Linked DNA regions of Ovis aries. The protein of the gene in region 1 interacts with the protein of each later gene in a biochemical or structural test. Links are inferred from orthologs where the notes say so. Each region holds a gene or a part of one and is shown in the gene's direction. Other genes may lie near its edges.

Region 1 (3,500 bases):
ACATCTCTGTTTAACTGTTTGTGTTGGTGTGTACACTGTACTAGGTGATAGGGACATAGCATGCAAGCTGCTTTTAAAGCTTTCATTGTTGGGTGGAAGAGAGACACTGAAATAATAAGCTAATTTATTTAGTTCAAGTTTTAGGAGGAAGTAGAAGGGCTATATGAGAGCATGTAAATGAACCAGACCCTTTTTTGAGGGTTTATGCATATTTCTTGGAGAAAGTGATGGATGAGTTCACAGCTCTTATGGATAAGAAGGGATTGACTAAGGTGAATGAAGGTTAGGGAGAGGAAATGGCATCTGTGACAGTTCTCCTGAGGGAGGGGAGGACCAGGTGAGGTTTGGAAATTCAAGAAATACAGAGAGTAAGGAAGAGAAAGGGTTTGAGATAAGACTGTTGAGATAGGGCAGATCCTGCAGGGCTTAGTGGAACATGTTAAAAGAATAATGGGAAACAGTTCTTAGCAGAAGCATGCAGTGAAAAGATTTGTCTTTGGAAATCGGGGAAAAGTCAGGAGGTGGGGTATGCAGGGAAGGAAAGGTGGGGATAAATATTTAATGCTGTCTCTTTTTTAGGTGGATATGATGAGGAAAGGCCAAGAGCCAAAGCATATATTAGGAGTTTTCATTAATAAGTGCCCATTCTGGTTCAGATTTCCATGCAGCAAATCAGCCGTGACATAACTTTCGTATCTGGGCATTACTGTTCAAACATGGATTTTGGGGTTTTTTTTTCCTTTTACTATGGTCAGTGTGGGAAGAATAATACTGGGCCAGAATTTATATATTTTGGGGAGGACTGAGGTACATGAATGTGAGTGAAATTTTGTAGAAGCAGAGCTTAAATATGACCCCAGTCTGGAGGTCTAGTTAATGATGACCAGGTATACATTTATGTCACTAAGCTGCTGAAATTCTTATATGATAAAATCAGTTGGTAATAAAGGCTTTTCTCGGGCATTTGATCAAGGTTCCATGATTAACAATACATACACATCTTTCTAGCTCATCATTCTGGCTAGTGGTGGACCTCAAGCTCTAGTGAATATAATGAGGACCTACACTTACGAGAAACTACTGTGGACCACAAGCAGAGTGCTGAAGGTGCTGTCTGTGTGCTCTAGTAACAAGCCGGCTATTGTAGAAGCTGGTAAGTGTACTTGGCTATTCTGGGTTCTCATGCGTGCAGCACATGTAGTTCTCATTAGGTTGCCTTTCTTAGGAAAAGGGTGATCAAACTGACCTTCACAGGCTGAAAGTAGACGGTTGTATTCAGTTTGAAGCCAAAGTTGCATTCAGACAAAGGATGTGTTCTGCTTGCCACGTTCTTTGGTGCTGTTCAAGCCTAGTTCAGGCAGAGATCATATTACCAGAAACGATGGCTGATAATAGGCTTGATAACAGCTATTCCAGAAATACCTGAAATGTTTGTTTAAAAAAAAAATACAGATTTTTAGACTGACTTAATCAGAATTCCTGGAGTATTGAAGTGACAAGAGAGTCAGTAATAGTTGGAAATGCCTGGGACTGGAGGCCTAGGAATCTCGATTATAAGAAGTTTCCCATTGGGGAGGGAGGTGGGAGGGGTTTCAGGATGGGGAGCACATGTACACCCATGGCTGATTCATGTCAGTATATGGCGAAAACCACTACAATATTGTAGTTAATTAGCCTCCAATTAAAATAATTAAAAAAAATTTCCGAGGTTATTCTGATGCTCATTTGTTTATTCTGAAAATATTCAGCCCCTGTGTTTCAAGCTGGTATGCAGTGGGCAACAAAATAGGTATGGTCCCCGTATTTATTCTTACAGGCTGGTGAAGGAGACAGAAATCTGCAAGATGATGGGGTGATTACAAATTGGAATGAGTGTCACGAGAGAAATGAACAGCAAATAGTGATGCAGAGTTAATGGGGCGGGAATGCCCTTCTCTCAGAGGGGGATGTTAAATGAAATCACAGAATGAGAGGGCTTCATCTATATGAGAAGTAAGGATTAAGTGCAAGCCAGATGGTCCTAAAGGTAGGAAAGAAATCGTTGCATTCTAGGTGCTGAAGAGGAAGTCTGTGTAACTAGAACCTAGTGAGTAGTGGGATGAATAGCTCAGGGTGAGGGTGATGGGCCAGAGCCAGGCAGGCTGTGTTGTGCCGGACTTTCTAGGTCCCTGGATGATGTTTATTCATACTTTATTGCAGCTTTGGAAACACAGGTGTTGAATGCTTAGGTCAATTTAAGATGAAGTCCAAATCCTAAAGGGTTCCTAAAGGTTATGCTAAAGAATTCAGTCTTTATCTTGTAATGAGAAGTTGTTGTCGGCTACAGCATCACAGTGAGGTGTTTGGAATATTAATATTAGCATCATGTGACAGTTTGACCAGAGGCAAGCAGACCAGGCTGATGGGATGTGTTATAGGCTTTTAGGAATGAAGTCATTTGATATTAAAAATATGTAGCAAAGGATGAATGTTATTTAGGGAGTTGATATCTGTGAAGTGACTAAAAGGTCAGTAGGTAGCTGGAAATGTTTGCTTCTGGAATGCTAGGGAAGACTGGGTAGGGATAGAGATTAGGGAGTTCCTTTCTTAGTGGATGTGGGTAAGGGCTTTGGGAAGTCATTGGGGTGTCTCAAAGCCATCTTCACCCCAGGCATGCTCAATCAGAATGTGTGTGTGTAAGTCTCTGCAGGCTGTTCGGAAAGGCATCTGGAAGTAAAATCCCCTCTCGTAGAGTTGATGGTTCTAGTAGAGGGAGAGAAGGGAGACAGGAACCAAGTCATTGTGAAACTACTGAGCGTCAGCCCTGAGCACTCTGTTAGCAGCTGGAGCTACTAGGAGGAAGGCACCAGATAGGGAGGGTCTGGTCTGAGTGGTGGGCTCCATTATAGCTGTGAAAAGTGCTGTGAAAGAAAAGTACAAGGTGCGTGAGAATTACAGCAAGTTGACCCAATCTAATTGAGGAAATAAAACAGACCTGAAAAGATAAACAAGGAGACAAGGGTATATCCCGCTGCATTTGGGTAAAGAACCTGCCTGCCAATGCAGGAGGCAAGAGACACAGGTTCGATTCCTGAGTGGAGAAGATCCCCTGAAGAAGGAAATGGCAACCTACTCCAGTATTCTTGCCTGGGGAATTCCATAGATAGAGGAGCCTGGTAGGCTACAGTTGATAGGATTGCAAAGAGACACAACTGAAGTGACTTAGCATGCATAGCATTGCATGGCTGACCTAACTTAATTGAGGAAATAAAACAGATCTGAAAAGATAAACAAGGAGACAAGAGAAAGTATATCCCACTGCATTTAGAAGTGAGAAAGAGATGGTGAGGTTAAGCTAGCCAGTGTGTGGGGAATTGAGCTTCCGTTTAGACTCCTCTGCAGTGTAAATGTCCTTCATTAGGGTCCTGAACAAGAGGAGGTTGTGAATCTTTGAAGAGCATCTTTTGCCTTTAATACAGCCCCCGAGAGTAAGCATTCTGGTGCTGTCTTTTTAGACTGTG
Region 2 (4,152 bases), about 22 Mb from region 1:
CTTGTCAGGTATTGTTACACTTACTTAAGAAACTCAGGGTCTGAGGGGTCCCAGCGCTTGGTCAAGATCACACGGACACTGGACCGGTGAGAACCTAAACCTCAGAGCCCAGCTCTCAACCGTGACCTCTGCGGCACCCCGTCCTTTCGGAATCCTTTACACTCACCTCCCTTATTTAGCACTTGAAATCTCTCTTGTGACCCAAGATGGATAAATAAGTTATAAATCACTGAGGAAAAGAAAATGTTTAGGAGACTATCGCCCAGGCCGATTGGGGAGTATTTAGGGAGGGTAGCCTTGCCGGTGCAGGATATTCTTTCTGTCCGCAGCCCCCGAGCACGTTCCGAAACCTAGCAGGGACATTAGCTGGCTCTACCCCCGCCCTCGGGCGGTGCCCGAGGCAACAGCAACTCCAGGCTGTGAATTCCGAGAGGTGGCTGCCGCGCCCACGCCCCCGCGGGCGCCAGGACTTGGGTGCAGATCCCAGACCCAGGAGTGATCCTTATCTCCTGGCCCCGGGGCGGGTCCAAAGGCTGCCCAGCTTAGCCAGGAACTTGAGTCCAGGACAGACGCCTGGTTCCAGAGGTCTCTGGCCGCCAGTTTTAAAGAGCTAGACCCTTTTCGGTTGAAGACCCCAAGCCTCTCTTGCTTTTAGGCTTCTTTCCCTCGCCTTATACTTTATCTGCGTCCAGAAAAGTTGGCCCTAAAGTTTAAGGATGCAGATAAGTGTGTGTATACGTGTGTGGGCGTGTGACGGATCCCATTTGGGGGACCACCACGGCCCCCCCTCCCCAGGGTCGCAGAGGCTGGGGCACACCCTACTCAAAGACCAGAACCCGCCCTCACAGTGCAGGTTGGGGGGAAGCCGGGCAGGCGCACTCCTCTGGGTTGGGGTCAGGGTATTAGAGGGAACTGCGGCGGGGGGTGGGCTGGGTGACGGACAGCGTGGCCAGCCACTGGCCGAGGGCGGTAAGGAAGCTTAGGCCGGCGTGTGTGCGTGCGTGTGTGCGTGAGTGTGAGCGCGAGGGTGAGTGTGCGCCTCCCCAACCCCCACCTGTTTGAAATGGTTTTAAAATACCCAAGCAGATTGCCCATGTTTTTAAGTTGCAGTCAGTTGGAGTAAAACACTTCCTCCTCTCCCAGACCCCCGAAGGGGCTATGCAGAGTCGTGAGCACTGAAATAAAAGTAGGAATGAGAAGGGTGTGTGAAGGGGGAGAAAAGTGGCTGATCCTGGAGAAGTCGGACTTAGGACCCAACGGGAAGCACATTGGAATCTCTCACTTCGGGAAGGCGGGGTGGGGCGGGCCGGCCGGCAGGCGGTCGCGGGGCGCATGCGCGCGCGTCTCCTCTTGCCGGCCGCTGCGCTCGGCGGCGCGGAATAGAATGAACTGTAACAAAACAAGCCGAGCCTTTGTATCTGCTTAAAGGGGACGCAGGCACTTCCCTCCTGTCCCCCCCGCCCCCGCTCAGCTACCGCGTCTCCAGGGCTCCCAGCAACTGCCTAGAAGGGCTTCCCTCACCCTCAGAAACTGCCCGCCAGCGAGGAAAGGCGACCCAGGCGGGAGGCAAAGAGGAGACACCGCATTTCTAAGAGGCAAGAAAGAAAGGAAGGAAAAAAAAAAATAATCCAAGCTGCGCAGAGTGGACTCTGGTCCCAGAGAGCACGGTCGGGCGCCGGAACGTGGACCGAGAAGCACCGGAATGCAAACAAAGCTCGCGGGCGCCTGTGCAGGGCTCGCGGGGAAGCCCAGAAAGTTTGTTTTATGATGGCTTGAGTGAGCGAGTGTGTGCAAGGGAGCGAGGCTGCCAAGTTTCTCTCTCCCGCTGCGTTGTTTGTGGGGGGAGATGTCTCTCCCATGAACCAGCAGGGGCTTGGGGGCTTGTGCTGTGGGGGGCACCTGTCTCTCATTTTATCATTATTTTTTTTGGCGGGCGTAGTAGGGGTGTAACTCATCATGTCGAAAGTGATCCAGAAGAAGAACCACTGGACTAGCAGGGTTCACGAATGCACCGTAAAACGGGGACCCCAGGGAGAGCTGGGGGTGACGGTGCTGGGGGGCGCGGAGAACGGAGAGTTTCCGTATGTCGGAGCGGTGACGGCTACCGAAGCGGCGGGGCTTCCCGGCGGCGGCGAGGGCCCTCGGCTGAGCGAGGGCGAGTTGCTACTGGAGGTGCAGGGGATCCGGGTGTCCGGCTTGCCCCGCTATGACGTACTGGGAGTCATCGACAGCTGCAAGGAGGCCGTCACCTTCAAAGCCGTCAGACAAGGTAAGTCGGGCCGCGCCTCCTGGAGGCGCCCCCAGAAAAGAACCGGCCTGAGAAGTCTCCCCCCCGCCCCCCTTCCGATTTCCCGCTTTTCTTCTGCGAACGCGGCGTAGGGGCGATGTTGAGGCCGTGTGCCCAGTGATGGTGAAATACACCAAGTTGTTGAGAGGCTGTGGGTTGCTTGCCCACCTGCGTTGGGAAGAGGGGCTTGGGTTAGCTCGGGGAAGCGCAGAGATTTTTCCCTGGCCCGGTTTGCTAACCTGTTATCTCTGCAACCAAGCGCAGCAGTGGCTTGCCTGCACCGGGAGGAGAGTTGGGGAACTGAGGCAGGGGCAAAGTGGACGCTCTCCTGGCTCCCTGGGCGAGTGTTGCAGCGGGCGCAGCTACTGTGTTCTTTGATCTCTTATTTGTTTTCAGACCTAGAGAATGGGTATGAAGGAGGTGAGGGTCTTTGATTGTTGGACATCCTTAATCAAAAAATCAGCATCACCCCGTGACCGGCCAGGTGGGCTAGGGCATCACCACCTTTCAGTCCTAAAGCTTGCAGCTTGAAGATCTTGCATTCACCCCACAGCTGGATGACGCATGTGTCTCAACCCGTGTGGCCTGGCCCCAGACTTTTGGGTGGCGTGGGGGGAGAGAATAGAGAGGGTATTTCAGCGCCATTCAAGCCCGAGTTTATACTGCCACCAACATCACCACCATCCCCATCACTGCAACCATCGTCATCATCCCTGTGAAGATGATTATAGCTGCTGTTTCTTATTCACTTATTATGTGTCAGGTTCTATGTAAAATGCTTTCCTTGCACTCTTTTGTTCTGATGCACAACAATTCTGAGAGCGAGTGTTTCTTCTAAACCCCCTTATGTTACCGATAAGGAAGCTGGGACTGACATTGTTTCATTTACTGATATTGGTTCAGTTACTTGCCCAAGGTCACACAGATGCCAAGAGTGAGGGTTTGAAAATCCTTGCTGCAGAGCCTTAACCACCAAGGAGGAAGAGGATGAGTGTGGGAGACCTGAGGGGTGCACTTAAGAGAAGGGAGTGGAAGCAAATTCACCTCTGGGAAGCTTGGAGAGGAGTGATATGGCTGCTGGTTGCGGGGAGTCCCTTGCATCTTAGTTTGGTATAGGCTCAGGGCTGTCCCTGAGTAGAGAAGTAGAGAAGGAATGGATTCCCTTAAAGGGGTCCCTTGTATGACCAAGCACCGTGATGCAGGTTCTTCCCTGGTTGAGCCCTGGTGAAAAGTTCACACATGTGCCTGCGTGCTTGAAAGGGCAAGCAGCAGCTGGAGGACTGTGTCAGAGGAAAGGAGGGCTAGGCTGAGCTAGTCCTCTTTTGGAAACAGGCCTGTTCCAGATGAAGTGGAGGAGGGGGACAGGGAGAAGAGACGGGCCTTTTGGTAGCTTTGGGAGCTGAGGGACTGACAGTTATGGAAATCTCCTTCCATTTGTGTCCTCATTATCTGCTTGCACACCTCCTCCAAGAAGCCTTCAGGCACCCTGCCAGGATGAAGAAATCAGCGTTCCTCTGGACTCTCCTAAATGTGTGTCTTGTCAGTTTTCTGCTTATTCTGAACTATGCGTTAGATCCCTTCCCTTCTTTCCATACAAGGTGGTAAGCTCATTGAAAGGAGAGAATATGCCTCATTGACTGCACACCACCTCAGCTTTGCTTAAGGTCCAACACCTTGTCTCACCTGGAAATATGTCTCCCGTTATCTGTAAACTGGCTGTTTTGTATTACATAAACTTATAAAGGGTGCAGAATAGTGCCTGACACATAATAAGTGCTCAGTAAAGACCAGCTATTATTGTTATGTTTCAAGTGAAGTTGGGGCAGTTATTTATTTCTATGTCTAGCTTTTAAGTTTAGCTTTAA
Region 3 (3,500 bases), on another chromosome or scaffold:
GAGGGGAGGGAGGTGGCCCCCCAGAAAGGCTCACTGTGTCTCCGCATGAGGCTGCTGCACAGAATGGGACCTGGGCGCCTGGTACAGAAAATATCCTGTCAACCCCACTTCATAACTGAATCCATCAGAAAAGCCGTTATTCTGTCCCTGGTTATTACCTTTTCCTTTGGCTATATCTTTCAGGGTAAGAAAAAGAAGAGGAAGCGAGAAAAGCAGCTGTCCCAGACACAGTCCCAGCAGCAGCAAGTCCAGGAGGCAGATGGTGAGTCTTCAGGAGGGAACTGCGTCTTTACTTTTTCCCACTGTGTCAGCTACGCCTGCCAGCACCCTGTGCATGGCTCTCTGATGGACACCATGTCAACGCTGTGTTTTAATATTAATAGCTGCCATTTTCAAGGCCTCTGCCTCATGTACACTTGTGCATGCGTGCTAAGTCACTTCCATCATGTCCGACTCTTTGCGACCCTATGGATTGCATCCCACCAGGCCTGTCTGTCCATGGGGATTCTCCAGGCAAGAATATTGGAATGGGTTGTCATGCCCTCCACCAGGGGCTCTTCCTGACCCAGGGATTGAACCTGCTGCTCTTATGTCTACATGCATTGGCAGGAGGGTTCTTAACCAGTAGTACCACTTGGGTATACTCAGGTGGGTGTTATTATTACCCCCCTTCTGGAGATGATCAGTTTAGAGGCTCAGAGAAGTGAAAGGATTTTCCTGGTCATGCTGCTTGGTAAATGGAGGGAGGGTTTGGTCCAGCGCTTTGTCACTCAAAAGGTGCTCTTCAATTCAGTTGAGTTTCATCTTATTGAGGGTTAGGTTCTAAAATCAATGCAGTAAAAGTAAAAACTGAATGTTGTTGAAATGAGCCTTGAAATTCCCTTAGGAACCCAGCCCCTTAGAGACTGGCATACCACCTTTCAGTGAATCCAGTAGATTGCGGTTTTCCTTCAATGTTTGGTTGGCCGAATATCAGAAACAATCATTTGCTTGGATTAGGAAGGCCCTTTTGTGCCACAAATATCTTTTTACATCAGAATCTCACCCAGCACAGACTAGCCCCTTCCTTGGCCAGTATTTCAGTCACACCTCCCATCTCACGCTCATTCCAGCACAAGGGTAGAACTAGTTTAGTTCCATCTAAAGGGCTTCACAGGTGGCGAAGAATCCTTCTGCAATGCAGGAGACCTGGGTTCAATCCCTGGGTAGGGAAGATCCCTGGAGAAGGGAATGGCAACCCACTCCAGTATTCTTGCCTGGAGAATCCCATGGACAGAGGAGCCTGGTGAGCTACAGTCCATAGGGTTGTGAACAGTGAGACGTGACTGAGCAGCTAACACAGACACACACACAAAGTGCTTTTTATCGCCTTTCCTTTCACTTCCTTTCCTAGCTTTCTAATATCTCTATAATTTATTTATCTCCATAGGAGTACACATAAATTAACTATGTATATGACGCAAAATCTGTTGAATTGGTGCGTGGCAGGCGCTGTACTATCTCTAGGAGGATCATAAACCAAAGATTTTAAAGAAACTGAATGGAGATCCATCCCCCAAATGATAAGATTTAGGCAGGAAGATGATAATTTGCTAGAGAAGGAAATGGCAACCCACTCCATTATTTTTGCGGGGAGAATTCCAGGGACAGAAAAGCCTGACGGGCTACACTCCATAGCGGTGCAAGGAGGCAGACATCACTGAGCACAGCACAGCACGATAATTTGATAAGCTCAGCTATTTTACCTCCAGGCAGATACTGAACGGGGTCTCTGGCATTTTGGTATTGGCCCTTTTCTGTGCTCTAGGTGTACTGAAAGTCTTAGGCGTCATTTCAGGGCCTCACGTCCCTCCCTCTACGCATGCTTGTTTCCCGGGTCTTATGTACTACTTCCGCCTTTCCCAGCGTTCCTAGCGGCTGACTTTCTTGTTTGTGTCCCCCCACCCCCACCCCCGCAGGTGCTCTGGCCTCCAAAAGCAAGAAGCCATGTGTCCAGTACCTGCCCCCCGAGAAGCCCTGTGACAGCCCAGCTTCCTCCCACGGCAGCATGCTGGACTCCCCAGCTACCCCCTCCGCGGCCTTGGCCTCCCCGGCCGCCCCAGCCGCCACCCACTCGGAGCAAGCCCAGCCCCTCTCCCTCACCACCAAGCCAGAGACCCGGGCCCAGCTGGCTCTCCACTCAGCCGCCTTCCTGTCATCAAAGGCTGCCGCCACCTCTTCTGGCCAGATGGGCAGCCAGCCCCCGCTCCTGTCCCGGCCCCTCCCTTTGGGGTCTGTGCCCACAGCTCTGCTGACGTCCCCCCCATCCTTCCCCGCCACGCTCCACGCCCACCAGGCCCTCCCCGTGCTCCAGGCCCAGCCTCTGTCCTTGGTCACCAAGTCTGCCCACTAAGCTGCCCCCCTTGACCTATGCAGGCTGTCACGTGACTCATCGAGTAGTAAGGATGCAGAAGGAAAAAAAAAAGGAAACTTTATTGGTCAATATTTGACCACTCTGGACTGTTCTGTAAAGTGACTGGTAACAGCAGCACTTTACGGTTTGTAGATGTAACCAGTAGCTGATCTTAAGTCTTTTTTTAAAAAACAAACAAACAAAAATCTTTAAAAAAAAAAAAAAAGGAAAACGAGAACTGAAAAGTAGTGTGTTATTCTTCCTGTGTGTGCAGTGGTGGATGGACCTGGGCAGAAGGCACCCCACTCTCTACCTCCTGGACTCTCTGCCCTCCCTCCTCTTCCCATCCTCTCACACATCCAGCCCCCACCCCCTGCTTCCTGGCTCCCCTCATTCCAGCTTACACGTTGGCCCTTGTTGCCATTTCTAGCCTCTTCGTCTACAACCCATTCCTTGACATTCCCTTTGACTTAGCCCACGTTTTGCTCCTGTGGGTTCATGCCTTCATCTTCGTCCTCTGCCCAGTGTAAGGCTGTCACCACGTGAGAAACACCTTGGCCTCTTTGTCTCCACCAGCACACTTCTCCCTCAGTGGCCCTAAACCACCCCCACCCCCCAGCCTCCAGCTTTCTGTGGAGGAAGAGGTCCTCTAAAATGGTTCTCCCCTGCATTTAAAGGGACTCAAGGTGCCTGCCACTTCCTCAGCGAAGAAGCCTGTGTTCCATCCCCTTACCAGTCAAGATGTCCCCTCACAGCCCCGGAGTGGCAGACAGGTCTGGCTCCTGTCACCCGGGAATGTGCTAGCACAATCTGCCAAAGCTCTGAGACCCTCCTCCCTCCCCAGTCACCTCACATGCTTCTTCTGTGTGTATTTCTTTTCATTTTTATGGGGTTTTTTTTGAGCAATTTAAACTCCCAGTTGTTTATTTTCACAAAAGAAAATAAAATTGCAGTTGCAAGACTTTGCTGAGTATTTTAGTCCTTTGTTGACTCAAGCCCCTTTCTTCACACCAAAGGCTGTGTAAGATTTTTACAGAATGCAAAAGAGGAATGCCTCTTTTGGAAGGGGATGTAAGTCATGCCTGACAGAACTAGAAAAATCTAATCC
Region 4 (3,373 bases), on another chromosome or scaffold:
GACTGTTCTGTGAAGCTTTCCACAATTTGATAGTATTGATAACATTCGAATGCACTTATCCTTTGTCAACAGTGATTCTATTTTTGTAAATTTATTGTACATATACATAATCTGGCAAGTGGATAAAAATTTGTATTCATTGTTTGTATTCTCATAATCAAGAGGGGGAAAAATCCACTCTCAAATGTTAAACTTTTAAAATAGTAATCACTTGATTCTTATTTTTATTATGAGAGGAATGCATACTTATTGGAAAAACAAATCAAAGTACAAGTGAAGGTAAATAAGATCCTTCATAATCCTACTATTTACAGATATCTACATTTTGGCTTTGAGTCTTACACATTTTTGTGACTGCCTGTACTTCAAATTAAAGTATTTGTAAATGATTCTTTATAAGAAATGGGATTATATAAGTAATTGGAAACTTATTAATGTAATATATTAGGGTTGTCATTCTGCGTTAATTAACGTATGGTAGACGTGTGTCGTTTCTGGCAGCAGTAGTGGTCTGTGCCATTAATGATGTACTGTTACTCAGCCAGTCCCCTCACTGGGGACCACACACCGTTTCCAGTTTTTCACTTCTGTGGAGAGTGTGATAGAGAATGTGCTGTAAATAAAATTTCGCATGTGCATCATTACTACTTTTAAAGTAGAATTGCTATTTCAAAAAATTAGCCCCCCCCAAGAGCTTTATTTAGGAATATTTAGAAGTGTGGAATTTAAACAGATTTGCTATATGTCATGTGTTGAAAAAATTTAACTTACTCAGCCTCCTCATCAAAAGGTATGTGGTAAACAGTCGTTAGTTTGAGACTGATTTTCCTGTGAGAAAGTTTTAGTCATTAACCAGTGTTCAAGGCTTCTGACTGAGCCAGGCATTCTGTTTGTGGTAAAAAAAAAAAAATTACTGTTTAATTATTAGATATGACCAAGTTAACATGTAACCAATTTTAGTGTTGTCTTTGCAGTATATGCTGATGGTAGCATATGTTTAGATATCCTTCAGAATAGATGGAGTCCAACATACGATGTATCTTCTATCTTAACATCAATTCAGGTAAGCATGTGTTAGAATGCATCTTAATTTTTCAAGATTCTATGGAATATAATTGACTCTTTTAGGATCAATTTAAAGGCCAAGTGAGCAAACTAACACTCCCAACACTAAGGTTACCAGTGGCAAACCTCATACAGAATCCTCAGGATTTTCATACAGCTGATCTGCTTTTTCATTAGTGATCATGTTGGATCAAATCCATGATCATTTTCCTGATAAAGTATAAATTGTTCTCACAGATCAAGTAATTTTGTTTTGTTTCTTTGGGTTTTGGGTGTTTTTCGCTGCATCTTGCAGCCTTGGGGTCCTAGTTCCCCAACCAAAGATAGAACTCGTGCCCCCTGTGGTGCAAGTGCAGAGTTATAACCACTAGACCACCAGGAAATTCCCTCACCGGTCAAGTATTATTCATGCCTAGAAAGCATAGCCAGAGGTGATGGAGAAAGATGAAAAAATCTTGGGGAGAGAGAAAGACAATTGTTTAGTAAAAACATAGGGACCTCAAGAAACTGCAGTGCAGAAAAGCATCATTTTGCCCCATCCGGGAAATGCTGTTTCAAAGGAAAAGAATGTAACTATCCACCAAAGCACTCTGGCAGAATATTTCAGAGTTGACCTTGAATGACAGTTTAGGAGGAAGGTTTGAGGTGGAGTCAAGTTTTAGTTACATGGATTTGAAAGGAGCAGATGTGATATTTTGGTTTGTGGCCTTCAAGTTTTTTCTGTCACACTTCTGTTTTAATTTGAGTCATAAATAGTATTTTCAGTCTTGCTGTTATTAATATATTCCCTTGCTGCTAGGTGTATATGTTTTGTTGATTAAAGGAAATAAGGTATACTACCCAACTTACTGCCAGGAATTTGCAAACCTATCACAATAATAGAGTTTAACTTTGGAAAATGTTAGTTGCTGAGGTATTTTGTAGACATTGTATATTAACCAAATCAAATTGTTTAGTTCCCGTTTAATATCGCAGTATGCTGAATTAATGTTTGTTCTTTTCCAATTTCTTTGAAATTAGAGGTCTTAAGGCAATTGAGAGCTATCTGTTTTGAAAACTGAAGTTTTGTAGCAATAGGAAACTTCTTACTGTCTTTATCAAACTAAAGTGTTTAGGTCTGAAAAATACATGAGACATACTAATTTCTTTCTTCATTAAGTAATTTCTGTTTTCTGTAACTTTTGTGCTCCATATCTGACCCATGTTAATATAAAAAAATAACTCTACATATGTGTTTTTCCTTCTTTCTTTCCTTCTAGTCTCTGCTGGATGAACCGAATCCAAATAGTCCAGCCAATAGTCAGGCAGCACAGCTTTATCAGGAAAACAAACGAGAATATGAGAAAAGAGTTTCGGCCATTGTTGAACAAAGCTGGAATGATTCATAATAGACAACTGGTCTGTTAATCTTTTTCATCATTGTTGTGTATAATTTACCTCTCAGTAGAAAGGCTAACAAATTTTAAGTGCCACAGGTTTTAAGGATTCTGCAGAAAAAAAGTCCTTCAGTTTAGAACCTACAAAAGCTTGTGTATCTTGATTAATGTACTTTTTATTGCATGGTGTGAACTAAGTTATTGCTTACATAAATTTGTAATATATCCTGTTTGTATTTTTTTCCAAGTGTATAATGTTGGTGTGGAGTTTTCATGACAGAATATACACATTTTGTAAATCTGTACTTTTTTCAAATATTGAATGCCTTATTTTTGAATTCTTTAGATTTTTAAATTGGAGAAAAGCACTTAAAGTTTTTTATATATGAATATTACATGTAAAGCTGTTAAAATACATACTTCAGTGCAAGAGACTTTGTCACTTATTTCCTTATCTAAGTAGGAGGGGTTAATAAGTCTCTAGCTCTCTATCAATTGATAGTTTCATTTCCAGTTTCAAAAGAACAGATTTATATTTTATCAAGAAATTCAGATTTGATTCTAAATAACCAATTATAATCTCAAACTGTATTTTGAATGTACCTTTATTAGTTTTAGTTGAGCAATTATAACTGGTTTGATTCTGTCCAGCTCTGTATTTAGGCCACTTATTATTGTTTCTTCATGCACTACTTACTGTTAAACTGCACCCTTTGATTTCACAGTTTGCACCTCCACCATGGGGTATTGGCACCTCTACCTTGAGCAGAGAGCTTATGCAACTTACTTTGCTGCTTGATAACACTTTAAAAGATTTTTGATAATGAAGAAAGTAAAACGATCAACATTTTAAAAAAATCCATGCCCTACAATTAACAATATAAGAATTTGTTGCATTGGTTTGAACAAGGCAGATATTTGGAAGGAATCTT
Region 5 (3,500 bases), on another chromosome or scaffold:
CAAGAACTCTTCCTAGGACATAGGGTGGCAGTTCTCACAATGTGTTTGGAAAAACTAATCTTGTAAAATGCTTTGAAAAAAGGATACTGTGGTCAGTACATTTTATAAATGCTGCATATAATATTTCATCATTTGCAAAGTCATAACCCACAATAGCGTATTAAAAGCTCTGTGAAGTCCTATAGTAAAGAACTAATAGAAACTAATTCAGCTTAGTATGTTCCCATTTTTTATTGTGGTAAAATGTGCATAACATTTGCATTTAGCTACCTGTAGGTGTACAGTTCTGTGGCATTAAGTACATTCACATTTTGTGCAGCCATCACCACCATTCATCTCCTGCATATTACTATTACCTTTTTTTTTTAAGCACCGAACTCTTCTTTTTTTGTTTTGCTGGACATGTATAAACTTTCCACAGAGCATTCTCTGTGAAAAGTGAGGAAGGCCTTCAGAGAGTAGCTGAAATATAAACCGAGAGGTTGAAGGATCCTTTAGGATGAAATCTTTTTGAAATAGATAGTTTTCTGCCTTACTCATATGAGAATTTAGGACTTAATGTTGTTCATGGTTGTACCAGATTGACTCCATAGTGATAACGTACACGGGACCTAGCAGCAGCTCAGTATCTGCTCATAACGAGAGGTTGAAGGGAGGGAGGACCCTGGTTAGGTTGGATTGTAGTCTGGCCTCATTCCTCACTCTCTCTCTTTATGTCAGTTATCTTATTTCTTGCTGTCCCCCATTTCAGACCATCCTATAAAAGTTGTGTCTTGCTTCCTGTTCGTGGGCTGCATTATTACTGTTGCCAGAATGTGATGAGGTCCGGCTACTTCCTGTAATGTGCATCAGGTTGGGTTTAATTTCACTTAGAATTGGCTAAATTACTAGTCATAGAGGCAAGTTCTGTTAGGTCTGTTTTCTAGACATGGAAACATACAACCATTGTTAGGAGTTTTTTAATGTCATTTGAAATGCAAAAATTAGGAAATAGTTTTGGAGTTTTTTGTATTAGATTTGGTCATATTAAAACTATTTCTTACTGTTGAGGCAGGGAGCCCTGAATCATTCTCTGCATTCTAGTTATGCTGGAACCTGGGACCCTTTTTAGCTACCTTGACTAAATTCAGAAAGGGGTTGTTGGGGAGACAGTCTTTTTATATTCTAGCAGCATGTATAAGATGGTGTTCTGAAGACATTTGTTACAGGATCAGCCTCAGTAACTTTTTGCTTGTGTGCTTTGGTGTTTGAAGTTCAGTTTAAAAACGTTAGTTTAGTCTCATGGCTTACTTGGCAGAAGCATTGACTCAAGAGAACTGTGGATAAATATGTTTAATTAGTAAAGCTAAAAGAGTTTTGTTTTCCCAAGTTGGCATCTCTTTGATAGCAAGTAAATCTGCACAAGAACCTAATTTATAATCTTCTGTTGATTTTCTATTTTGGCAGGAACTTGATCTCAAAATAGCAATTAAGTCTTGTCGCCTAGAGCTAAGTACCAAAAATAGAGAACGGTGGTGCCATGAAATCCAGATCATGAAGAAGTAAGTGTACTTGATGACTTAAATTTCCCCAGTTTTGCATCCCAGCCAGATGTCATCATAGGGAAGGTGGCTAGGAATCCATTCTTAGGATCTTTTGAGGAACATATTTTTCTCTTTCTCATTAAATTTGTGTGTTTTATTTCAAATAATAACATCACATCATGCTTAAGTAGGTTTTGTTTAAATAGTTATCTAGGTAATGATAGTATAATATTGAAGAAAAACAAAAAGCCCTTCAGGGAACTTGGGGTTTTTTAGAGCATGAGCCACCATTTCCTTGCATGGCCCTGCTGTAAACCTTTCTCTGCTCTAAAAACACAAAATGTCAGTTAGGTATTATCAGACTCAGCTTTCTGAGGGCAGAATCTGTTTCTTTTGGGTATCAGGCAGTGCTTATCTGTTATACTTTATAGTTAAATAGCAATCACTACTTTCATTAAAAAAATATTTTTACTCTCACCTACTTTTGTTAAACATTGTATCTATTGCTTTGTAAAAAATTATCCTTAAGCTTAGTGGGTTAAAACAACAGAAGTTTGGTGTCTCACACTTTCTGTGGTTTAGGAATTTGGGAGTGACTTAGGTGGTTTTGACTTAAGAGATGCCTCCTGAAACATCTCAAAATGTTGACTGGGGCTGCAGTTATCCAAAGGCTTGAGTGGGGCTGGAGTATCCACTCCAAAGCTCATTTAGTGTCTGTTGGTTAGAGGCATCGGTTCCCCACCACATGTGCCTCTCTCTCCATAGGGAAATTTGAATGTCTTCATAACATAGCAGCTAACTTTCCCCAAAGTCAGTGATCTGAGAGAGAGAGAGAGAGCAGGCAGACATATTTTTATGATCTTCCTTCAGAAGCTATGCTCTATCCTTTCCAAATAATTTCTATTTATTAGAAATCAGTCACTAAATACAGCCTCTACTTCAGGGAAAGAGAATTAAGCTTTTGAAGGGAGAAGTGGCTATGTTTTAAAACCTCCACAGGTAGAGTGCTAATAAGGGCTTACCCATGTTCTAGTTGTCACAGCAACCCTGTGTCTCATTACTAAAGAAAAAGTTGAAGCTTATAGAGTCATACAACTGATAGGTAATAGAGTCTGGAGTTGAAATAAGCACTTTCTGACTTCAGTGTTCTCAATGCATTTTAATGGTTCTCAAACTTGGCTGTGTGGCAGAATCACTAGAAAAACTTTTTAACAATACAAATCCTCAGGCTCTACACATGGAAATTCTGTTTCTTTAGGTCCTTGGGCCCTGGGAATCTATTCTAGTTTAGAGACCATTGTGTGATGATGATGGTGATTTGATATATTACTAAGTTTAAAAAAAGATGTTAGGAAACAATATATAATGTGATTCAATATTTATTGAAAAACATGTATTTGTACACAAATTAAAAATTTTTAAACAAGTATCAATTTTTAATTATACAAATGAGAAATTAGAATATTATAAATAAAGTCAGTCTTTCGTCTCACTGCCCCCAATTAACTACTATTTCAAACTGAGTCCCTTTTCACTGGAAACAAATCTTTTATTATAATGCTTTCCCCTTGTTAGGTTGAACCACGCCAATGTTGTAAAGGCCTGTGACGTTCCTGAGGAATTGAATTTTTTGATTAACGATGTGCCTCTTCTAGCAATGGAATATTGTTCTGGAGGAGATCTCCGGAAGGTAGTGTGGATGTTTTGAGATGATGAGATAGTAACATGAACTCTAGCAGTCTTTGAATCCCACTCAGTACAATAATCTAGAGTAAGAGTCAGTAAACTATGGCTTGTTATCTGTTTTTGTGGCTGCTTTCTTAAAATAGTAGCAGAGTTGAGTAGTGGTGCCAGAGATTGCATGACTTGCAAAGCCTAAAGAACTCACTCTCTGGCCCTTTACAGGTAATGTTTGCTGACCCCTGCTTTAGAACATGAATATTTTTGTTGGTGGCAGTGGTGTTTCAGGATGGGACT
Region 6 (4,166 bases), on another chromosome or scaffold:
AGTTTCCTTTTAATCCCATGCTAAACAGATATTTAAAGAAAATTGACCTATTTGTGCATTGCCAAAGTATTAGCCTTCTTGTAGTGTATAAATTCCTCCATCCACCCCTTAGATAGAAGGCTCCAGGTGCAGTATCCCAGGTAAAAGTGGGACAATTCCAGCTGGCAGGGTGAGTTGAAAATGTTGGTTTTTGTGCACACTCCAAGAGGCTGCATTCAACAAAGTGTTTCAATTATTTATGTGCCTGGCACCTCAGATAATCTATTCAGAGTGCAAAGGTAGTCTTTTCTAACAACAACAACAAATTTTAAGTCTTAAAGGTAAACCTGACTGTCTCTGCCTTACATTGTTGTTTAGTCACTAAGCTGTGTCCAACTCCTTTGTGACCCCACGGACTGTAGCCCACCAGGCCCCTCTGTCCCTAAGATTTCCCAGACAAGAATATTGTGGGCTGCCAGTTCCTTCTCCAGGGGATCTTCCCCACCCAGGGATCAAACCCGCATCTCCTGCATTGGCAGGCACATTGTTTTACCACCGAGCTACCAGGTAAGCCCATCTCTATCTTATAGAACCACCATATTCTTCTGGGTATTTCAAAACATCAAGGACTTCCATATTCCATTTTCCACCTAGAGATTTTGTACACGTCTGGTGTTCAAAAATATACTCTCTCTAGGACGGCTGCACCCTAAAGTCATGTGAAAACTTTAAATCATTACTATAAATATCCACTGTTTTTGCATTGAGTCCTCGCTTTTGGACCTAAAGCAAATACTGTGACCTTTCTACCCTTCCGTTTCTTCATGGGAAATAACGCTAATTCCTGTATTACAAACCAGACAATACATGTAAAGTGCTTGGCACAATCCCTCAGCACTGTCGGCCTCACTCGCGCACCCTTTACAGAGGGCCGGTACTTTTCACCTCTGCACTCAGCTTTTCTCCCAGGATTTAGTATATGACCCCGCCCGGGTTCAGGGGGCGGGAATCTGAGAGCGGAGGGCGCGTGCCGGAGAGTGAGAGGTCACAGTGCAAAGGTCAGAAGGCAGTCGGTTGAGGCTGTGCGCTAATAACTGAAGAAAGATCTCTGGACTTAGGTTGCCTCGGCAACCTCAGCGGAGGAGGCACAAGGTGGCGGGGACCGCCCACTCGCTGCAGCTTTCGGTCCCCAGCCCACCTTGGGCTTTAGCTCCGCCCCTTTCTCCCTGGAGGTTGGCAGCGGAAGTCGACACAGACGCCGACGCGGTTGCCTAGCGATACCTTTTTCCCAAGATGCCCAGCGTGTTGTGTTCTTCTTAACCAATTAGAGAGGCGAAGCGGCCTCACCGCGAGCCAATAGGCTGCGAGGTCGGGGCCCGCGACGGTTAAACCGGGGCTGCAGATCAGGGCGGCCGAGCGTCGGGGCTGGAGCTCTGAGGAGACTATACGGCCCGCAGACGTCCTGCGCGGGCCCCGCCATGCCGACTCGGGTGGAGGACTACGAGGTGCTGTACACCATTGGCACCGGCTCCTACGGCCGCTGCCAGAAGATCCGCAGGAAGAGCGACGGCAAGGTGAGCGCGGGCCTGGTCCCTGCCTCCGCCCCCAGGCCGCCCAGAGGAAGCAGGGAGCCTGGCGGTGTGCATCTGAAAAGCAGGGTGCTCAGAAGAGCCAGCCTTCTCCCCCAGATCTGTGTCTGTCCTGGGTCTCTCGAGGGATGGGAAGCCGCATCCTTTTTTTTTTTTTTTTTTAAATTTGTGAATCTGTGCCTTAATTCTTTGTTGTTGTTGTTCTGTCGCTCAGTCGTGTCCGACTCTACAACCTTGTGGACTGCAGCACGCCAGGCTTCCCTGTCTTTCACCAGCTCCCGGAGTTTGCCCAAGTTCATGTCCATTGAGTCGGTGATGCCTTCCAACCATCTCGTCCTCTGTCGTCCTCTTCTCCTCCTGCCCTCAGTCTTTCCCAGCATCAGAGTCTTTTCCAGTGTCAGCTCTTATCACGTGGCCAAAGTAAAACTAATAAAATGTGCCAAGTAGAATGTATGTATATATATATGTATATTTCTTCTTCTCCTGTCTTTTTTCCATTCTCTTCCATTTTCTTCCTTTTTTCTGCTTTGACCTGCCATGGGCCTTCTGTTGGTGACTGGTAGCTGACTCCTGAGCTGTTTTTAGAGAAATGTAATTCTCTATCATAACCATCAGAACCTAGAACTTTTATGTCTTGTAGTCAGAATTCATTTAGTTCAGTTCAGTTCAGTCGCTCAGTCGTGTCCGACTCTTTGCGACTCCATGAATCGCAGCTAGCCAGGCCTCCCTGTCCATCACCAACTCATTATTCCCATTGTTAGATTCATATCTCCCAAGGTGTGTGGGTAGACCCACACAGAAAAATAATGGAAAGGAAGTTAGCTCAGATGGAAGGGTCTTTACTAAGTTCTCTTACCCTAGAAATTTTGACTAGTTGGAATGGTTGGGGACTTCAATCGCCTTTGCTCCAGCTTTGATTAGAGTACCTTCTGCCAACCTCCCACTAGGCATTGAGGGCAGAGGGTTGGGGGCGGCCTAACCTCCCTCGTCACCCTCTGTTGCATCATTCACTGCTTAAAAATTAGGGGAAGGTTATGGAAATAAACTCAGGGGTCCTCAGCTCATTAAACTAAATTAGATAAATAGTGACTGTATGATCTGTTTACTAGATAAGTAACTTTTTTTTTTAATTTGAAAAATTTGGAGTTATAATGAGTTCATTTATACCTTGGAAATTTTTATTTCAGATATTAGTTTGGAAAGAACTTGACTATGGCTCCATGACAGAAACTGAGAAACAAATGCTTGTTTCTGAAGTGAATTTGCTTCGGGAGCTGAAACATCCAAACATTGTCCGCTACTATGATAGAATTATTGACCGGACCAACACGACCCTGTACATTGTCATGGAATGCTGCGAAGGAGGAGACCTGGCTGGTGTGATTTCAAAGGGAACCAAGGAAAGGTAAGATAAATTCATCTCTTAAATGGGCCTAGTTTTGTTTCTGGAAACATCCTATATTAGGATCAGGGACAAAGTACTTAGTAATGGGGAAGAGTCGTCTTGTGTTTGTTCAGTGGGTCCACAGTACTTTAGAAAATCCCTGGTAAGTCAACACTTGAATTTCATATCCAAATAATTTATTTCCCTATGTGTATACTTAGAAAACTAGATAATTCACATCCTGTCATCTTTGTAATGGTTTCATTCAGCAGATACATGCTACATAACTGCTTTGATTTCAGACAATACTTGGATGAAGAGTTTGTTCTTCGTGTGATGGCTCAGTTGACTCTGGCCCTAAAGGAATGTCACAGACGAAGTGATGGCGGCCACACTGTGCTGCATCGGGATCTGAAACCAGCCAATGTCTTTCTGGATGGCAAGCAGAACGTTAAGCTTGGAGACTTTGGGCTAGCTAGAATATTAAACCATGATACAAGTTTTGCGAAAACATTTGTTGGCACACCTTATTACATGTCTCCTGTAAGTATTTCAAAATGTATATACTTTTAAAACATCTTAATGCTAAGCATTCAAGCAAGGAAATTTATTTCTTTGTTTAGTAATATCTAATAGCCAAGAATTAATAATACTGTTTTATTTTAAATTGATAATTTTCAAATGGACCGTCAGACCACTAAAAGATTATTATTATTTTTTGTTTTGATGTGGACCATTTTTAAAGTCTTTATTGAATGTGTTACAGTATTGCTTCTGTTGTTTATGCTTTGTTTTTTTGGCCACAAGGCATGTGGGATCTTAGCTCCCCTACCAGGGAGCAAACCTGCACTCCCTGCATTGGAAGGCGAAGTCTTAACCACTGGACCCCCAGGGAAGTCCCACCACCAGACCGCTAAACTTCTATATCAGCAATGCAAGTCAGACTTTCACTGAATGGCTGCCACGTGCTAAGCTTGGGGATCATAGAGATGAAATAGGTTTTGTCTCTGCCCTTAAGTACAGTACTTCCAAAGTGCCATAGGTCCTGGACACCAGCTTGTTCTCAGCTGGAGTGATAGTTTAAAATGCAGAGTCCTGGGCTCCAGTCCAGGGACTTAGGACCTCTGGACTGGTCTTTGCACTCAACTTTTTATCTTTTTGTCCCCTACCTTTTTATTTTGGACTCTGTATTTTAGCAGACTCCTTAGATGATT
Region 7 (3,981 bases), on another chromosome or scaffold:
AGGGAGGGACAGCTGCGGACGCTGTCCTGGGCGCTCAGCGGCTTCCACCTCTGACCCAGATGAAGTGTCTATACCCCACCCCTCCCAACCAGGCTAAAACTCTGACTCTGGAGGAAGAACAAAAATGTCCTCCTCCCCCCAAATACACACCAATGCCAGGAAGGGAGCCCCCAAGTCTTCCTTTCGTGAAGGGATCGCCGTCAACTTGGAGGCCTGGGGGTGGGGGGAGGGGCAGCTGTTGGAAAAGGTTGTGCACAGCAGGGCCCAGGGAGGGGTGGGGTGGCGGCTTGTCTGCAGTGCCATGCTGGCCCCTTCACTGGCCCCCAGCGCCCTACAAGTGCCCAGGGCCCCTGGGGACATCAGGGAGGACCCTGGTCTGCCTCAAGCCGTCACAGCCCTTTTCTGGAGACTGCCCTCCTGCACCCCCTCTGGGTGTCTGTACTGACTCAGGGGGGCCCTCCAGGCCAGGTGTGCTGAATGGCGACCCCCTCCCCCGCCCCCACCCCCACCCCGGGCCCTGGGCCCTCTTTCTTCTTGGTCCCCACGTGAGGTCCCTGTTCGCTTTTGTAGCTGCCAGATGTCTGCGTGTTCCTTCTGGGGAGGGGAGCTTCTGGAAGACCCCCACCAGGAATGAGGGCCCAGCCCAGGGCCAGACCCAAGCAAGCCTTCAGCCCACAGACAGATGGCTGCCCACCGGCCAGCCGCCTGCATGCACCCCCCCCCCCCCCCACCCAAGGGGCCTGCGCTAGGCAAAGGGCCTTGGACTGGGTCTGTTAGGCCCACCGTGGCCCCTCGAGCCACCAGCTCCCCAGCTTGGGGCATATTCTAAAAGTCAGACTAACCCACACTCCAGCCCTGCTCCCGCCGGAGGGAGTCAGAAGCAGGCGGCTCAGCCCACGCCGGCCCTGTTAACAGGGTCGAGGCCGGACTGGTCCGAGAAGTGCGGGCTGGCCGGACAAAACTGGGAAACCGAGGCCAGGGAGGCCGCGGCCCGGAGGCAGGCCCCGGGGAGGGGCGGGAGCGGCCGGGCTCCGCCGGCGGCCCGGCCCGGCCCCAGGGACTCCCGCCGCGCGCTCCCGCTCCCCGTGGAGGGGACGCCCCGGGCGGCGGAGGCGGATGTGGGCGGGCGGCCGGGCGGGGCGGGCGCGGGGCGGGGAGAGGGCGGGCCGGCGGGGCCGAGCGCGGCGGGCGGGCGGCCGGCCCAGCGCAGCCGCGCAGCCAGCGCATCCCGAGGAGCGAGCCGGCGGCCGCGCACGAGCTCCGGGCCCGGCGGCGCGCGAGGCCCGCCCGAGCAGCGCCCGCCGCGGCCTCCAGCCCGGCCCCGGCCGGCCGGTCCGCGGGGATGCGGAGCAGCGGGCGCCGGAGGCCGCGGCCCGGCTAGGCCCGCGCTCTCGCCGGACGCGGCGCCCGGTGAGTCCCCGCCCGCCCGCCGCCCGCCGCCGGGGCCCGGATTTCCTCCCCGCGGCCGGGCCGCTTTGTTCGCGGCCGCCCGGGCCGGGGCGCGGGCCGCGCGCGGCCGGAATGGAGGCGCGGGAGCAGGAAGTGGCCGAGAGAGGCCTGGGCGGGGAAGGCGCGGGCCGGGCGGGCGGCGGGGCGGCGGGCCTCCGGCCCCAGCCTCCCGCATGACCTTGGGGAAGCGGCTCCGGCGGGCGAGGCCCGGGCCGGGGCGGAGGGGTGCGGCCGCTCGCCGGGGTCCGTGGCCGGGGGTCCGTGGCGGCCGAGGGCTCCCCGGGCGCCCGGCCAGCGGGGTCCCGGCGCACACTAGGTGCTCGGGGGCCCGGGGAAAAGACTCGACCCGGCTCTCGTTCAAGTTTGTGGGTGGGCCCTTGGAAGGGACTTCATTTTCCCATGGACAAAAAGTTGTCCGTGGTGGCTGGGTGCCTAGGCCCTCCCACAAAGGACTACAGCCTTCCTGGGCCCTGAGACTGGTTCTGGAGCTGGGTGGGTTCGCGAGTGCTGCCCACCCATCCCCGAGGCTGGGGCTCCTGCCCCCGGTTGGGGGGATCCCGGGGCAGCTGGTGAACTTGGTGGGTGGGATTGGGTCCTGGCAGTGCTGGTGGACAGAGCTGGGGTTGTGGGCTTGTGCTCTGGGGCCAGAGATGCCCCCCCGGCGGTCACCCCTGGCCCCCTCCCACCTTGCTCAGGCCACTCCTAGCTGCCCTGGGCCTCTGTTTCAAATGAAGAGTGGGGTGCACTGGTGGGGCTTGGTCCCCTGCCCCCTAGCTGAACATCTAGTGTATAAACTGGTGTTTTGGAGGCCGAGGGAGGGGGCCTTTCGGAGCAGAGATTATTATTTTTTGGAAGGTCGTGACTTGAACAGTCATAGCAGTAACTCACCTTCGTGGTGAAGGCACTCCCAGGACGGAAGCGCAGAAGCAGAGGTCCCCTCGAGCCGCCCGTCCCGAGGGGAGGCAGCCCCGGCCCCGGCGGTGTGCACCTTTCTGCGCACAGGCACACCGCCCTGTGTGTGCGCGCAGACAGATTTTTACACGCGGGGCTCTCCACAGCTGTTTGGCCCTGTCAGCAGCAGACCCATTCAGCCCCGTGGGGGGGGGGGGGCCCACCCGTGCAGAGGTCTTTGAGTCCAGCCCTCTGCCTCCAGGCCACGCCCACTCGAGTGTCACCAGAGCCCCCTGTGCGAGCCAGGCTGGCTCTGAGTCCAGGCCCTGGTGGTCCCTCCTCCAGTCTTCCTTGCCACGCCTGCCTGTGGGCCCGCTGACGGGGGTCAGACACAAAGCAGAGCGTGGGTCCTCCTGCCCTTCTAGGTTTAGCCCAGGATGGACAGTGCACAGTGGCTTTCTCCAGGAGCCCAGGAAGGTGGGCTGTGGGAGATGCGTGCAGGGAGTGTGTGTAGGAAGAGTGTATATGTAGGTATATACCATGTTGGAGATACTTAGGGGTGTCTGCCCAGCTTGAGGGTCCCAGAGAGGAGTCTTTCCAGGCCTACCCTCCTGAGTGCCCAACTGGAAGGGTAGCGGAGGACTGCTTGTGGGGAGAATGCTGTTTCCCAGGATGCTCAGAACCAGTGATGTGGGCAGTGGGTTTTGAGGGGTGCCTAGGAGTTCATCCAACAGGGGAGCAGAGGGGTGGGCCACACAGGATCAATGGCCAAAGGGTCTGCTCACGAGGAGGCTGCTGGTGGGCCTCCGAAGGGCTGGTGCCGGGCCTCCGTGTTTGCACAGTCCCCCCATCCCTGGTTTGTTGCCTGCTGAATGCTGTAATTATGGGTCTGTAACCACCCTGGACTGGGTGCTCCTCGCAGACAGGACTCGTCTGAACCTCTCTTTGTCCCCAGTGCCCAGTGCTGAGCCTGGCAAAACCAGAGATGCCTGGTCCATGTTGGCCGAATGAATGAACTGGTTCAGGCCGGCGGGGCACTGAGGTTTAGGGGGGGGCCTGGGGTTTCTCTGGGGTGGGTTTGTGAGGGGTCGTGTGTTGCCCTGGAGGGCTCCAGTTCGTCTGCAGCAGCCGCCTGCCTGCCTGGCCCTGCCTTCATGCTGGAACTCCTCTGCTTCCCAGTCTGGGACGGAGAGGAGGAGGCCTGGGTCCTTCTCGGGAACGCCCACCTTGGGGCAGGAGCACCATGGACGGGGAGACCTGGGTACCCTCGCCAGGGGACTGCGGAGGCCAGGAGGTGTGGGCCGAAGCAGTCAGGGGGACTGCCTGGAAGAGAGGGCTTCTGCTGGGTTGGCAGGTTAGGGCGGCTGGGATATACCATGCGGGGCCTTTTGGGGACAGGGGTCATTTGTACAGAGGTCGGGGGAGGTGGGAATGGTCAGAGACGGGGACAGTGAGCTCTGAGGGCTTTGGGGTCCGGGAGGGGTGGTGGCGGGGGGGCTTACAGCCTGGGGGCAGGGCAGGCCTGGCCCTGGGAGCCGTGTGAGTGACTTGGGATCTGGAGCCGGGGTGGGAAGGCCATGTGTGGGGAGGCGGCAGCTCTGAAGGCTAAGGGGGACAGGCCACGTGGGAAGATGCGCCTGA

What was found.
Region 2: the proteins of CTNNB1 (region 1) and MAGI1 form a complex in vitro, tested with the Homo sapiens proteins (2 studies listed by BioGRID and IntAct, with this or other methods). The link is inferred for Ovis aries from reciprocal best matches to the Homo sapiens genes CTNNB1 and MAGI1.
Region 3: the proteins of CTNNB1 (region 1) and TCF7L1 are reported together in a solved structure, tested with the Homo sapiens proteins (2 studies listed by BioGRID, with this or other methods). The link is inferred for Ovis aries from reciprocal best matches to the Homo sapiens genes CTNNB1 and TCF7L1.
Region 4: of the proteins of CTNNB1 (region 1) and UBE2B, one has a biochemical effect on the other in vitro, tested with the Homo sapiens proteins (2 studies listed by BioGRID, with this or other methods). The link is inferred for Ovis aries from reciprocal best matches to the Homo sapiens genes CTNNB1 and UBE2B.
Region 5: the proteins of CTNNB1 (region 1) and CHUK form a complex in vitro, tested with the Homo sapiens proteins (2 studies listed by BioGRID, with this or other methods). The link is inferred for Ovis aries from reciprocal best matches to the Homo sapiens genes CTNNB1 and CHUK.
Region 6: the proteins of CTNNB1 (region 1) and NEK2 form a complex in vitro, tested with the Homo sapiens proteins (2 studies listed by BioGRID, with this or other methods). The link is inferred for Ovis aries from reciprocal best matches to the Homo sapiens genes CTNNB1 and NEK2.
Region 7: of the proteins of CTNNB1 (region 1) and AKT1, one has a biochemical effect on the other in vitro, tested with the Homo sapiens proteins (2 studies listed by BioGRID). The link is inferred for Ovis aries from reciprocal best matches to the Homo sapiens genes CTNNB1 and AKT1.

The regions. Positions count from the first base shown.
Region 1 is NC_056072.1:13,857,380-13,860,879, forward strand, and holds part of CTNNB1 (catenin beta-1), read left to right. Parts: intron 1-1,008; coding exon 1,009-1,153; intron 1,154-3,500. UniProt on the Homo sapiens protein: Key downstream component of the canonical Wnt signaling pathway.
Region 2 is NC_056072.1:35,499,128-35,503,279, forward strand, and holds the start of MAGI1 (membrane-associated guanylate kinase, WW and PDZ domain-containing protein 1), read left to right. Parts: upstream 1-1,352; 5' UTR 1,353-1,956; coding exon 1,957-2,269; intron 2,270-4,152. UniProt on the Homo sapiens protein: Plays a role in coupling actin fibers to cell junctions in endothelial cells, via its interaction with AMOTL2 and CDH5. May regulate acid-induced ASIC3 currents by modulating its expression at the cell surface.
Region 3 is NC_056056.1:57,176,871-57,180,370, forward strand, and holds the end of TCF7L1 (transcription factor 7-like 1), read left to right. Parts: intron 1-183; coding exon 184-262; intron 263-1,958; coding exon 1,959-2,392; 3' UTR 2,393-3,354; downstream 3,355-3,500. UniProt on the Homo sapiens protein: Participates in the Wnt signaling pathway. Binds to DNA and acts as a repressor in the absence of CTNNB1, and as an activator in its presence.
Region 4 is NC_056058.1:43,592,772-43,596,144, forward strand, and holds the end of UBE2B (ubiquitin-conjugating enzyme E2 B), read left to right. Parts: exon of another isoform or gene 1-974; coding exon 975-1,063; exon of another isoform or gene 1,064-2,324; coding exon 2,325-2,453; 3' UTR 2,454-2,873; downstream 2,874-3,373. UniProt on the Homo sapiens protein: E2 ubiquitin-conjugating enzyme that accepts ubiquitin from the ubiquitin-activating enzyme E1 and transfers it to a E3 ubiquitin-protein ligase. In vitro catalyzes 'Lys-11'-, as well as 'Lys-48'- and 'Lys-63'-linked polyubiquitination.
Region 5 is NC_056075.1:20,910,791-20,914,290, reverse strand, and holds part of CHUK (inhibitor of nuclear factor kappa-B kinase subunit alpha), read left to right. Parts: intron 1-1,446; coding exon 1,447-1,541; intron 1,542-3,098; coding exon 3,099-3,213; intron 3,214-3,500.
Region 6 is NC_056065.1:71,252,353-71,256,518, forward strand, and holds the start of NEK2 (serine/threonine-protein kinase Nek2), read left to right. Parts: upstream 1-1,366; 5' UTR 1,367-1,457; coding exon 1,458-1,553; intron 1,554-2,755; coding exon 2,756-2,973; intron 2,974-3,254; coding exon 3,255-3,495; intron 3,496-4,166. UniProt on the Homo sapiens protein: Protein kinase which is involved in the control of centrosome separation and bipolar spindle formation in mitotic cells and chromatin condensation in meiotic cells.
Region 7 is NC_056071.1:66,978,450-66,982,430, reverse strand, and holds the start of AKT1 (RAC-alpha serine/threonine-protein kinase), read left to right. Parts: upstream 1-1,181; 5' UTR 1,182-1,410; intron 1,411-3,981. UniProt on the Homo sapiens protein: AKT1 is one of 3 closely related serine/threonine-protein kinases (AKT1, AKT2 and AKT3) called the AKT kinase, and which regulate many processes including metabolism, proliferation, cell survival, growth and angiogenesis.